Linked DNA regions of Oryzias latipes. Each later gene encodes a partner of the first gene's protein in a complex. Links are inferred from orthologs where the notes say so. Each region holds a gene or a part of one and is shown in the gene's direction. Other genes may lie near its edges.

Region 1 (4,197 bases):
AGTCTGATCGGGGCAGAGTATTCCGAACGGCGTGTTTACATGACGCATTTTTCTTCTGATCAGGTGTTCATTCCGATTACTTTTGTCCATGTAAACGCAGCCAATGACCTTAAAGCCCCGCCCCCAAGTAAAATTAGGCACTCTCAGTGAAAACTGAAAGCTAAGGAGGAAAGAAACAGAGGAAACAAACGTTGAAAATGCAAAACAAATAAATATTATTTTTCATTTGGTATCAGTTTAAGGTTTGAAGTTCTTGTTTAAACTTAGGGGTCAAGTTTTTTTAATTTTCATTATTTCTTTTGGCGTTTTCAATGTGTACTTTTGAGTTATTTTTTTTTTTACCTGATCCTAATTTCAATTCAATTCAATTTTATTTGTATAGCCCAAATTCACAACAACAGTCGTCTTGATGGGTTTCATATAATTTGACCCCATAGCGTGTGGCCCATCAATTTCAGTTTGTTTGACAATTGACTGTTAAATTTACAACTGGATAAATGGCGTGTGATATCATCCATAGAAAATGCCTTGCTTCTGGTTGCAACCAACTGAAGTCAATTCAGTCCCCATTTTTCTGCGATATGTCCTTCACCATGTGAGAAGCAGATGACCTCAGTAAGCCGTGATTGGCTTGTCTACATTTCTGTTGCAACCACTCTCTCCAATCAGGAGTGAGCCTGTTAGAAGGCCACACCCCTTTCCACTGAGAGCGGATAGGGAGGGTCTGTCAATCAAACGTTTCAAACTTCTGACGCTACTTTTATTAAGGCATCTGATTTGTCAGTTTATAACTTAGATAACTTTCACTACAGGAAAAATACCATGAGAAAAATCAGGATTAGCAATAAGATTTTAATAAAAGTTATCAGATCCAGAATGGTTATTCTGACCAATAGAATGACAGAGTAACAGCTGTTTATTTCTTAATAGAAGTCTATGGGGTTTTGCCTTCTTAGGACCAGCAGGTACTTCCTTTTTTGGTACACGGAGGGGGTGGGGGGGTGTTTTTCAGTCTAGTTCTTATTTTACTCTCAATGGTAACGACAAGCTTTTTTACACTGTAAGTTTGTCATCTACTCCTGATTCACAGCAATTTGAATAAAGAAATAACAGAAGAAACACACAAAAACACACATTTAATCTTAATTTTCTTTTTATATTTTCACTATCATGAGAAAAACACCACAAGAACTTAAACACAATTTCATTTTTGAAAGAAAGAAGCAAATTAAAGTCATTTGGAATGTAAACTTTGAAACGTCACGCTGCATTTCACCGCCCGGCCGCTAGCGGCGCTGTGATAAGCCGTAGTCTGAAAAAAGAAGCAGAGGAAGCTGAGCACGTGAGGTGTCCTCGTGTTAAGTTGTTGTTAGCAGACGTTCGGCTCAGAAAATCATCGATTGGAAATGACGAAGGTGAAGAAGGAGAAATTGGATGCGGAGGAGCCCGCCGGCGTCCCGGAGCGCTCCTATCACGAACTGATCGCGAACCTGAACCCGATCGCGCAGCCGCTGGCTTCCAGGAAGCTCAGCAAGAAGCTCTACAAGTGCGTGAAGAAAGGTACGAGTGCGGGACGTTTCCAGGTTGTGGATCAGTCCGGGTCCGACTGGGACCGGGTTGGACCAGGACAGTATTGAGCATTTTTGTGGTTTCAGCTGCCAGAGTGAAGAACATCCGCAGAGGAGTGAAGGAGGTGCAGAAGTTCATCAACAAGGGAGAGAAAGGGTGAGTTAGAACGAGCCGGAGCTGCTCAGGAGGAGGAGAAGCATGTTGGTGGATGAAGCTTCTCATAGGATCCTTTGTTTTTCTCTAGAATCCAGATAATTTCCGTTTGTCTCTGTGCTGCTCTTCATTTCTCATTTTATTGTCTGGAGCTACAGTTCTTTAGAACTTTAATGATGAGAAACTTTGCAAAACCTTTCAACCAAGTTCTTTTCTGTTTTAGTTGGGGTTTAGTCAAAGCGACTCAGTGATGTTGGCCAGTTCACAAATATGACTGCGCATGCGCGGGGTCAAAGGTCAAGGCCTCATTGGACGACAAACTTGGTGATGGTCTCTAACCCTAGCCATGATGAAACATATTCAAAGTTAAAATAACAGGACCATCTGCCCGGTCAGTTAACGAACTAAAGGCGCCCGACGATGCACCAGATGTGCTGCGACACAGGTGTGCTGCGACACAGGTGTGCTGCGACACAGGTGTGCTGCGACACAGGTGTGCTGCGACACAGGTGTGCTGCAGAGGCCTCATCCCCACAGCAGACGATGATAAAAAGGACGTATGCATGCGAAGCATTGGACATGATACAACTTGAGGACTGGATAACAGTTGTCTGGTTCAACATTAGGCCCACATGATGCAGTACTCAAACATTCCAGATCTATAATACTAGTAGAAGGCTTAAATATTCCATATGGACTATCTAAAGGCGTACGACATTCTTCTGTTTCTTTGACAGATCAGAATGCCACTTCTCTGCATTGACAGAAAACAATAACCCGATCCTCTTGTGATTGAAAAGGCTCTTGGGTTGGTGAGGAAGCAACTAAAACATGGCTGACAGAAATGTCAATATTGCTCACTCATGTCACTGAACGGTCTGTTCTTACTAGTATTTGCTGCTTTGGTTTTTTTGTTGCTATTTTTTCATTAGCTGACCCACCAACGGCAAACTGCATCTGCCGATGGACCTGTACTTTGTCTTTGGTTATGTATCGTAATGGCTGCGTTTTGGCTTAGCGGTCACCTTGTCTGCTGTCCATTGAGGTCTCGACCTTTGACCCCGCACATGCGCAGTCACCCGTGTGACTCAGTCTTTTGTGTTTAGTCTGAGGGGGCGTGACCAGAAGTGACTTCATTGCTTGCAAGCTGGTTTTCTGATTGGTCGTTGCTCTACAGGATCGTGGTTTTAGCTGGCGACACTCTGCCCATCGAGGTGTACTGCCACCTACCGGTCATGTGTGAGGACAGGAGCCTGCCGTACGCCTACATCCCCTCCAAAGTGGTGAGTCAGCAGCGCACCTATGCAGGTGTTCCTCTCTTTGAGGACTTCAAAAATAGCAGTAATGAAAGTGGATTTGCAGAGGCGATCCATGAAGGGATCTGCTGAAAGGTGAACCACCACCGACAGCAGTAAAGTTATAACTAAACCTCTGGTACGTTGTGTAAAAGTGAGGAAATATTTCAAATTTTATTTGCTTTCTTCAGAGAAACACATTTTTTCAAACGAGACCAGAACATTAAAGGTGGACATACATTCTGTGAAAGAAAGTTCTGGAAGTAAATACTGAGATGATCTCCACTCACAACCAAAAATCAAATAAATATAAATAGCTTCCAATATATTTATACACTAAACTAGAAATTCCTTACATCCAGTGAAGTATATTTGGGTTACAGTAGCAGCATTCTGGTATGGAGATGTCTTTGGTGGGTGGAGTTCTCAAAAACAAAGCGCTTGAATGTAAAAAGCACAATTTTACAGAATATGGCCTAAACTGTTTAAAATGGATATAAAGTGCCTCTATTGCAAGTTACAGGTACTTAACATTCTCAGCTGTTTCTAACTTTGCTGCTGCTGGGGTGTGTCAGAATTCCTTCACTACTCACTGCATAATGCGTCCACCTTTTTGTAGAGCTGTCTGAATCTACAATTACAAAATCCAGTGCCCTAGAAATTTACCAGAAGTCTCTGTGAAATACCAGTGTGCATCAAGGCTCACTATGTCGGTGAATATAGACCACAATGCATAGTATCAGAACAATTTTTGCCAAAAGAAAATGTATTTAAATGTATTTTTTTAATTAAACCATCAATGTTTTTATCTTCAGAACTCAGTGGACTCATAAATAATGGTGACAAAACGCTCATATGAATTAGATTTTAACTTTGTGAAATCAATTATGTCATATTCGCCATTTAAAATATTAAGCACTGAGCATTGTGTCTGAATTTTCTTTAAAATCCAGGGCACTAAATAGTTTTAGTAGTTAGGGGTTAGGGTGGGAGTTTGTCATCTTCCACTGACACAAGAGAAGGTGCTGTTCCCTCGACTCTCCTGCAGGAGGCAGTACAGTTCACCTCATAAAGGTGTGATGTCACCATCAGGTCTTTAGTTTTAGCTAACCTCAGTTATAATGAGAACTATTTCCAGAGAGTCCACAAAACTAGCAAATATGTTGTAAATAACCTGCAG
Region 2 (3,648 bases), on another chromosome or scaffold:
GATTTAGTATGAGGAAACAGAATCAGACGGGATCTGACCTAAAATGGATCCAGAACATCTTCAACCAGTGAGACTCGGAGAGAATTCCCGGGGTCCTAAACAGTGCCGGGGAAGTTTTCCAGATTCCATATTGCAAGTTCTTCTGATTGGCTGCTGGGTGTGCATTAAAAAGTCATCATTTACAGTGATAATCGCACGCCTAAAAAAGAAGTTCCGGTCACACCGCTCAAATGTTCTGTATCACTGCGCCGGCTTCTTCAAGGCAAACTTTATCTGGACCAAAACAAGCGATCGGGTGAACTTTCCCTCTGAACTATGCTTTATTTATTAACACATCGTGATCATCAGCATAAATCTATCGCTTTCCTTTGCCCCTGCAGTCAGGGTCGGAGGTCGGAATGGCGCCGTGACTACGCGCCACGCAACAAATAGTCCACGTTTTGTGAAAAAAGCGGTCCAAAACAGGAAAAAAAGTAAGAATAAACTAGGCCTGCACAATATACCGCAAATTTATCGTTATCGCAATATCCAGCTCTGCAATATGCATATGGCAAAAGACGGCGAATATCGCAATAAATCGCAAACCCAAAATGTGTTAAAACAATCTTCTAGCAACTTGAAGCATTTAACGCTTAAAATAAATCCCTTTATGCTTTGACCAATCAGATGGACGCCTTCCCATTGTTGACCAATCAGATGGAGGCCTATTATGTTAACCCTGGTCCTGAAGAGCCTCAACCCTGCCTGTTTTCCAGCTCTCCTTAACCAGCTTGCTGTTGATTGGCTGACTCAAGTGATTTCACATCCTGATTGACTGAACACACCTGATTTTGGTTATCATTATCGAGCAGTCTAGGGAGAATTGGAAAACAGACAGGGTTGAGGCTCTTGAGGACCAGGGTTAGCCACCCTGACGTTTGTCCCCCATGTCGATGAGGGTCATTTGGAGTATAATTTTTAAACTGTTGCAATGAAATGGGAATGATGTTTTTGTTTATTTTTCTATTTGTTTATTTACCGCAAATTTATCGTTATCGCAATATTGATCACTAATATCGCATATCGCAAGTTTTCCTCATATCGTGCAGCCCTAGAATAAAGTATTAAAAACTGATTGAATATTTATTTCTATTCTAAGTGACCACAGTATAAACAGGTTAATGGCCGACATTAAGCCTCACTTAATCAAGTGCAAATGAAACATATGTCCAAACAAACAAGTAAACAAGAATAAATATCAAATGTATTCCCATTTTAGTTTCCTAAAGTCCACTGTGGTTTTTCCACATCCATAGGGAACATTAATAGAACATTCTGTTTTGTCACATGACTTTGAAGTGTTTCCATCCATTGGACTGGAACGACGGTTGATCCTTTTTTTTTATGCGTTTGTCCGCTACGTTAGAGTAAAATAAACCTACTGTGTCTCAATGCAAATACCATTTTCCACTTTTGATTATCGATTCGTCTCATTTAGAAACGTATTTTTATTTTTTCTTAACGCCGTTAGTTCATTTGATTCATTACGTTTACATTTCACTAAAAGCTAAAGTATGACCTTTTAGAAAGCTTTGCATTGTCTTCTTACATTCAATTGAATCGGTTTTTCTCGTCAACACAGCACGACTAAACATGTCAAGGACGCGTGTCATAACTGGTCGTTAACCTCAGCTGGTTAATAAGTTCCTGCTCGCCGGTTGGGGATTCTGGGAAAGTGTAAATTGATGGAGGTTGAGGACAAACCGTTTCAATGAAAGGGCTACCGGCACATTCTTGACATGGCGTTGGGGTTCACACTGGACAAGCAGGGAGGGGCTTCTTCTTTTCCTGCTCTTTCCTAGCGCATGCTAGCAGAGAGTACGGTTGGAAGAGGCCGGTGAATCCGGCTCCAGGCTTTTTCTTTCTCCGTTCTATTTTGACATACGAAAGACTTGGCGTCGTATAAATCCAGCCGCAATTATCAATTTCTCCTGAATTTTCAAACGGTCGGCCCTTCCCTGAATTACGAGGGGGCGCCATCTATAGATCGCCACCAAATCCGAGTCCCTGATTGGTCAACCTGCTTTAACTTTCAACGCACGTTCAGCGGCCAAACGTTTCCTACGTGGACGCGCTGGTAGAGACACTGACGGCGTTTTAAACGTGCACCCACGTCGACTTTTCACTGCCGGTGGCGACGTGAGCTTAGCGAAAAAACACGCGTCGAAGCATTTATGGTCATTGACCAGCGAGACGACCTGACGGGAACGCTGGGCGGGAAAAACGTTTGGAGATTTGTGGAGGTGAAATGTGTCAGTCAAATAGGCTTTTACTTTTGTATTCAGCTTAGCGCTGACATCACTTCCTGTCGGTGCTCTGATTCCTTCACACTAAAGTGAAGCATAGAAACGGGTTCAGGTGAGCGCTCACACCAGCCGCTCTGAAACCGCCTCCAACGCCATCTTCGGCTGTTCTGTTTCCTCTTCCGTCTGCGGGTGTCTAAGCTCCTCCCTCCCGCTCTCTCCCCCCCCCCCCCCCCCCCCCCCCCCCCTCTCCCGCAGCCTGGCGAGCAGCAGCCGGGACAACCCGGTCCATGTCTGGGACGCCTTCTACGGCGACGTTCGCGCCACTTTCCGGCCCTACAACCACCTGGACGAGCTGACGGCGGCGCACTCTCTCTGCTTCTGTCCGGACGGGACGCGGCTGTACTGCGGCTTCGAGAAGACTGTGCGGGTGTTCCACACCGAACGCCCTGGGCGAGACTGCGAGGAGCGCCCCACCATGGGTGAGTCGGGGGGGGTTCCGTCTGGACCGAAACGTTCATTCTTGACACCCGGTCAGACGCCATCTAGGGTTGTGCCGATGGACGATATCATCAACAATTCAATACAAAACGATGTTAAACAGCGCTGAGCGGCTATATACATTGACATGTCAGCTCGGTAATATACGAGACGATCTTCTAAACCTGCTTTTAAGAATGTTATGGTTATTATGAAACACCTGTTCGCTTATCATTTGAATTTTAATCCGTGTGGTCAATGCTTTTTCTGAACGGAGCCGGAAAGAAGCCAGGATTAGCAGTATGCTAACACGGGCTAACAACATTAGCTTTGGTTGGCGCTACACGTAAACATGTGGGAATAACATCAGCCTTTATTTAGTTGGGACACAACTGGAAACATAAATCCACGTGATTGTTTGAACGGTTTCTAAGGACTGAGCGACATTTCTGCTTTGAAGCTCACACTGCCGCTGTGTGTGCTGACGATCCGAGCTGTGCTCAGACACACACTTTTAGACCCGGTTCTGAGTTCGGTAGCTCGTTCCCCTAGAGCTGCGGGACGGATCGCAGTCTTAAATCTCCCACACATAGCGCTATGTAACAGAGCACCCCCCCCCCCTCCCTTCCCATCAAACACAAAGCTGTAAATCCGCGCTCCGCCGGTCCACTTGACTAGTTAAGTGCGGGAGCGGACTACTTCTTTTCTATTTTGTTTGTTACTTTTTTTGTTAAAGTCACTTCCTTCAGTTTAAACTGGATCATCACAGATTAGTCATTGGTTGGGAAATAAAATAAAAAAAATAAAATAACGAATAGCAGTTATACAAGAACGAAAAATGTAAAAAACAGCCCCCCCCCCCGACGATGTCATCGTCCATCCCGAT
Region 3 (4,382 bases), on another chromosome or scaffold:
GGGTGTTTTGAAAGGCCCTTTTAAATGTAATGTATTATTATTATTATTAAATGGAGCTTGGAAACTTCATTCTGGTCTCAGCAGTGTAGGAAAGAAATCTTTGCTTTTCAGTTCTTTCCATCCATGCATGTTCAGTAGTCGAGACGAGAGTGGTAAAGCAAACAAGGATTCAACCGGATTAAAAATACACGAAGTTTATTTCCCTGACAATAGTTCTAGAGCACAGATTAAACATTAATGCAGATATATCTGGATTCTCAAGTAAAGACCTACTGACGCACAAGTTACATGCGAATTACATGCGAATCGTAGATTTTCCTAAGAACAGTAAAGTCCGTCCAAAACAGTCTTTTAAACATGTGTTTGACACTCCTCCTTCTGAAAACATCATGACCACTGGATCTCCGCCCCGGAACACTCTGATTCGTCAGCCGGTATCCCTTGTGCTTCCACCGGCCAATAGCTGAAGGTTGCCAACTCCAGATCCGCTCGCCTTTCAAAGGGGCGACAGTGGCTCAGGTGGTTGAGCGGGTCGTCCAATGATCGAAGGGTTGGCGGTTCAATCCCCGCTCCCACCAGCCAAAATGTCGTTGTGTCCTTGGGCAAGACACTTCACCCTCCTTGCCTCCAGTGTGGCTCCACTGGTGTGTGGATGTGTATGAATGATCCCGGTGATGGTCAGAGGGGCCGTAGGCGCGAAATGGCAGCCACACCTCTGTCAGTCTGTGGCTGTGGCTACAACCGTAGCTACCATCACTAAGTATGAATGAGGAGTGAATGAATAATGGACACAATGTAAACGCTTTGGGTGTCTTGAAAAGCGCAGATAAATCTAATCCATTATTATTATTATTATTATTTCACCGGCGCACACAATCCAACGATCAAGAGTCCTCATCTGGTCCAAATAAATCCTACCAGCCAAACGGATACTCCATCACCGGCACGTGATCAGAGGTCAGCTTCATCCTCCACATGAGAACAGGAATCTGAACACTTTCCCTAGGATAAGATGTTCAACCCAGATAGTAGAAATGTAGTCCATGACATATTTATTCCATCTCTGGAAACTCCTAGATTTGCACAAAGAAGTCCTAGTTGCTGCTGCAACTACAAAGCACAAGTGAAGGTCACTGGAGAATAAGTCCTGATGAGTTCACTTCACACTAAAGATAAAGCTGTAACATAATGAAGAATAAGATATTAAAACATACATTTTCTACAGCAGTTTCCTTCAGAAACAGATCTTCATAAATGACATTCATTAAGTGTCTCTTTGGGTTGGAAGTTCGGGAAATAACCTTCTTATTTTATAAGTCTTATTCCTTTTCTGAGAGTTTGTCAGTGCCCGAGACTCTGGATGAATAAAGAGCCTAAACCCTGGTTAACTAGTTTTTCGGTAATCCCAATACATGAGAGGAAATCCAAAAGCTCTCTAGCCCCGCCCCGGATGTGGCTCGATCGTCTTCCGGTGCTCGTAGACCAAAGAATAAGAAGGCGGACGCTCGCACGCAGTCACTTGGAAGAAGATGGCGGAGGTTGAAGGTAAGGGCGACCCACGTGGTTCTGAAGTTTTGCCAGAATCAGAACCGCTACCCTTAATGCAAAATCAACACGCCCGCACGGCGTTACTGACGCAGTTCCCATCGCACGCGCGGCGCGTTCTGCAGAGCAGGCCGCGCACCAAAGCAGGCCGAACCGCGCCACGTGCGTCCTGCTCCGGGCGGCCTACACGATAAACCGGGTCAGATTCGGTTCGCTTTTGGAGGTCTGCTACTTCAGGGGTTGAGCGCTTCTTTGGATTCCCGCCCCGCGTGGTCCTTCCAGTCCACGTGACGTGCAGGAAACGCCACGTGCGTTGGGAATAAGTCGTTAGTTTTTAACAAACACCTGTTTGATTCAAATGTGCGCGCGCCACAATCAAAATGGGAAACACAATTAGGTTCTGACTAGTTTATTATATGACAGTTTTTGGGTCGAACGGATCAGAGCCGAACTGCAGTAAAACGTGGCTCCGTTTCATGTCTGCACCGGTTCTAACCGGTTTACGATCAGTGCAAACGTTTCCACCTGCGGGGTCTCCAAAACGGTCAAAGATTTTGTTGATGATTCGAGACAAAAATCTACGAATTCAAGATTTTTAAGGATCCATTGAGATGACTTTAGCAGTAAAGCAGCCCCAAAGCATGATGCTTCCACCCCCATGCTTCACAGTAGGTAAATGGTGTTCTTAGGACGCCACTCCACTAATCTGCTGTTCCGTGTTTCTGCAGTAGCATCTGTTAAAAAGAAGAAAGGGAAGAAAGTCTGCGATGAAGAAGTTGGGGTGAGTGATGTTGTCTGGAGTAAAGGTAATCTCATGGATCTGCTGGAGCTGACTGTTTGTTTTCCAGGAGATCCAGAGGAGTGCTGACTTTTTCATCCAGCCAGAGTCCAAGGCAACATCTTTAAACACATCACAATGGCCCCTCCTTCTCAAGGTCAGCTCCACCTCGACCCCTGCCTGGGTCATGTGACATGTTGGCAATGTTGGTGTGACATGATGAAGCAGTTTATCCATTCTCTGAGCACTGCAGTCTTGGCGTTTCTTTGCCCGTCTCCATCTTTGGGGCCTGGTCTCTGCTGGTCACCAACTGTGACCTGGCGTTCTGCCAGGTTATAGGAGGTGACCGTGTAGAGGTGGAAGCGACCAGACTGTTGTCAAGATGATGCTCTGCTCTGATCACACGCCGCCTTGAAACAGGAAATGTGTGAGCAAACAAAAAAATGGCTATGTGGTCCAGGCTTCACTATCCGGCAGTGATTCAGATGGCTACTTTTTGGAGAGTATGTTACGAAAAAGTAGTACCAGCATGGGGTCAAAGGGCATGAGAATATTTGGGCAACCTGGTACTGGGGTTGGTTTCTCCCTTAGACAAAAAGCTAATTCAGGATTTAACGCCAGGTGTTCGCTTCGGTTGGTACATCGACCTCAAACTGTTTCCTGTTTTGGCAGAACTTCGATAAGCTGAATGTGCGGACGGGCCACTACACTCCCCTGCCCAACGGCAGCAACCCCCTGAAGAGGAACATTGCAGATTACGTCAGGTACATTCACGTTGCGTAGGGTCAATGCTATGACGCAGATTGCATAATGACACTGCCTCCTCTACTTAAGGTCTGGCTTCATCAATTTGGACAAGCCAGCCAACCCATCATCCCATGAGGTGGTTGCGTGGATTCGTAGGATTCTGCGAGTGGAGAAAACTGGACACAGTGGGACGCTGGATCCCAAGGTCACTGGCTGCCTGATTGTGTGTATAGACCGTGCCACACGATTGGTCAAATCGCAGCAGAGTGCAGGTACGGGTCCTGAGGGTGTCTGGCTGGGTTTTGGGCTTCAGGTCTGATTGGCAGATTACAATCACTAAGACCTGAGAGGGGATGGGTCTGATCCAGAACTAGAGCTGAGGATCCAAAGGCTTTTCTACTCTTCATTCTCTTCAATGTCCCCCTCCACTTCATCCGTACTGATCTAAACCAGACCCCCACAAATCTGTTTCTATTTAGTTTTTGCTTTATCTAAAACTGTGAATTTTAGTCCAGACAATGAAGATGGAAAAGGACACTCTAGCTTTAATAAATGAAAAGACAAAAAACGGATACTGATGATCCGAAATCAAACCTTTTGCTGATGCTTTAGTAACGCATATGGAAGCACGGGGGTCATTTCAGCAGCAGGCCATCTCTGACCGCCCTGGTCCACGTCAGGACGTTTGCTGAATATTTTTGTGCGCGCACACCTGGCTGCTGCAGTCAGCTGGCCTGACGTCTGTCTTTGCAGACACCATGTGACCATGGGTCCGCTACAGAGTCAAAGTACAAGGATCTGCTTCTGTCACCGGGCGATCCTCAGTCTGCCAGCACTGTGTGATTGGCCCACTTCACCTAAGCACTGGTTCCTTTAGCTGCGAGCCATTTGGGAGCCGTTGATTGGTTGAAGCCTGACTGTTCTGTGTTGCAGGTAAAGAGTATGTGGGGATCGTCCGGTTGCACAATGCAGTGGAGAACCAGCACGCTCTGGCCCGGGTAAGTCTGACCTGATGATCCAGTAAGAGCTTGCCTTAAGCACACACGGCTGAGGCTTGAGGTTCTGGAAGGTCTTGCATTTAAACCCTCCAGAGTAAAATCCTATTTCAATTCTTTTTTTTTTTATTGCAAACAAAAAGAGAATTGTTACATACATGAAATACAATGAAACAAAGAAGTGGTTTCATTTTGTGCACGGAGCCTCTTTGTATTGAAAACTGAAGGTTGCAGACATGAATGTGGGTCATTTAATCAGGAACAACATATTCTTGTGTAATCAGAACATTTCAGGTCATTGTTTTCTTTCTGAAATA

The links.
Region 2: nhp2 (region 1) and wrap53 share a complex: the UniProt entries of both Homo sapiens proteins name them as parts of the telomerase holoenzyme complex. The link is inferred for Oryzias latipes from reciprocal best matches to the Homo sapiens genes NHP2 and WRAP53.
Region 3: nhp2 (region 1) and dkc1 share a complex: the UniProt entries of both Homo sapiens proteins name them as parts of the H/ACA small nucleolar ribonucleoprotein (H/ACA snoRNP) complex. The link is inferred for Oryzias latipes from reciprocal best matches to the Homo sapiens genes NHP2 and DKC1.

What each region holds. Positions count from the first base shown.
Region 1 is NC_019872.2:3,233,441-3,237,637, reverse strand, and holds the start of nhp2 (H/ACA ribonucleoprotein complex subunit 2), read left to right. Parts: upstream 1-1,302; 5' UTR 1,303-1,406; coding exon 1,407-1,560; intron 1,561-1,655; coding exon 1,656-1,725; intron 1,726-2,899; coding exon 2,900-3,005; intron 3,006-4,197. UniProt on the Homo sapiens protein: Required for ribosome biogenesis and telomere maintenance. Part of the H/ACA small nucleolar ribonucleoprotein (H/ACA snoRNP) complex, which catalyzes pseudouridylation of rRNA.
Region 2 is NC_019876.2:6,277,171-6,280,818, forward strand, and holds part of wrap53 (telomerase Cajal body protein 1), read left to right. Parts: intron 1-2,540; coding exon 2,541-2,764; intron 2,765-3,648. UniProt on the Homo sapiens protein: RNA chaperone that plays a key role in telomere maintenance and RNA localization to Cajal bodies. Specifically recognizes and binds the Cajal body box (CAB box) present in both small Cajal body RNAs (scaRNAs) and telomerase RNA template component (TERC).
Region 3 is NC_019880.2:47,681-52,062, reverse strand, and holds the start of dkc1 (H/ACA ribonucleoprotein complex subunit 4), read left to right. Parts: upstream 1-1,453; 5' UTR 1,454-1,529; coding exon 1,530-1,545; intron 1,546-2,273; coding exon 2,274-2,326; intron 2,327-2,393; coding exon 2,394-2,480; intron 2,481-2,995; coding exon 2,996-3,087; intron 3,088-3,157; coding exon 3,158-3,342; intron 3,343-4,003; coding exon 4,004-4,068; intron 4,069-4,382.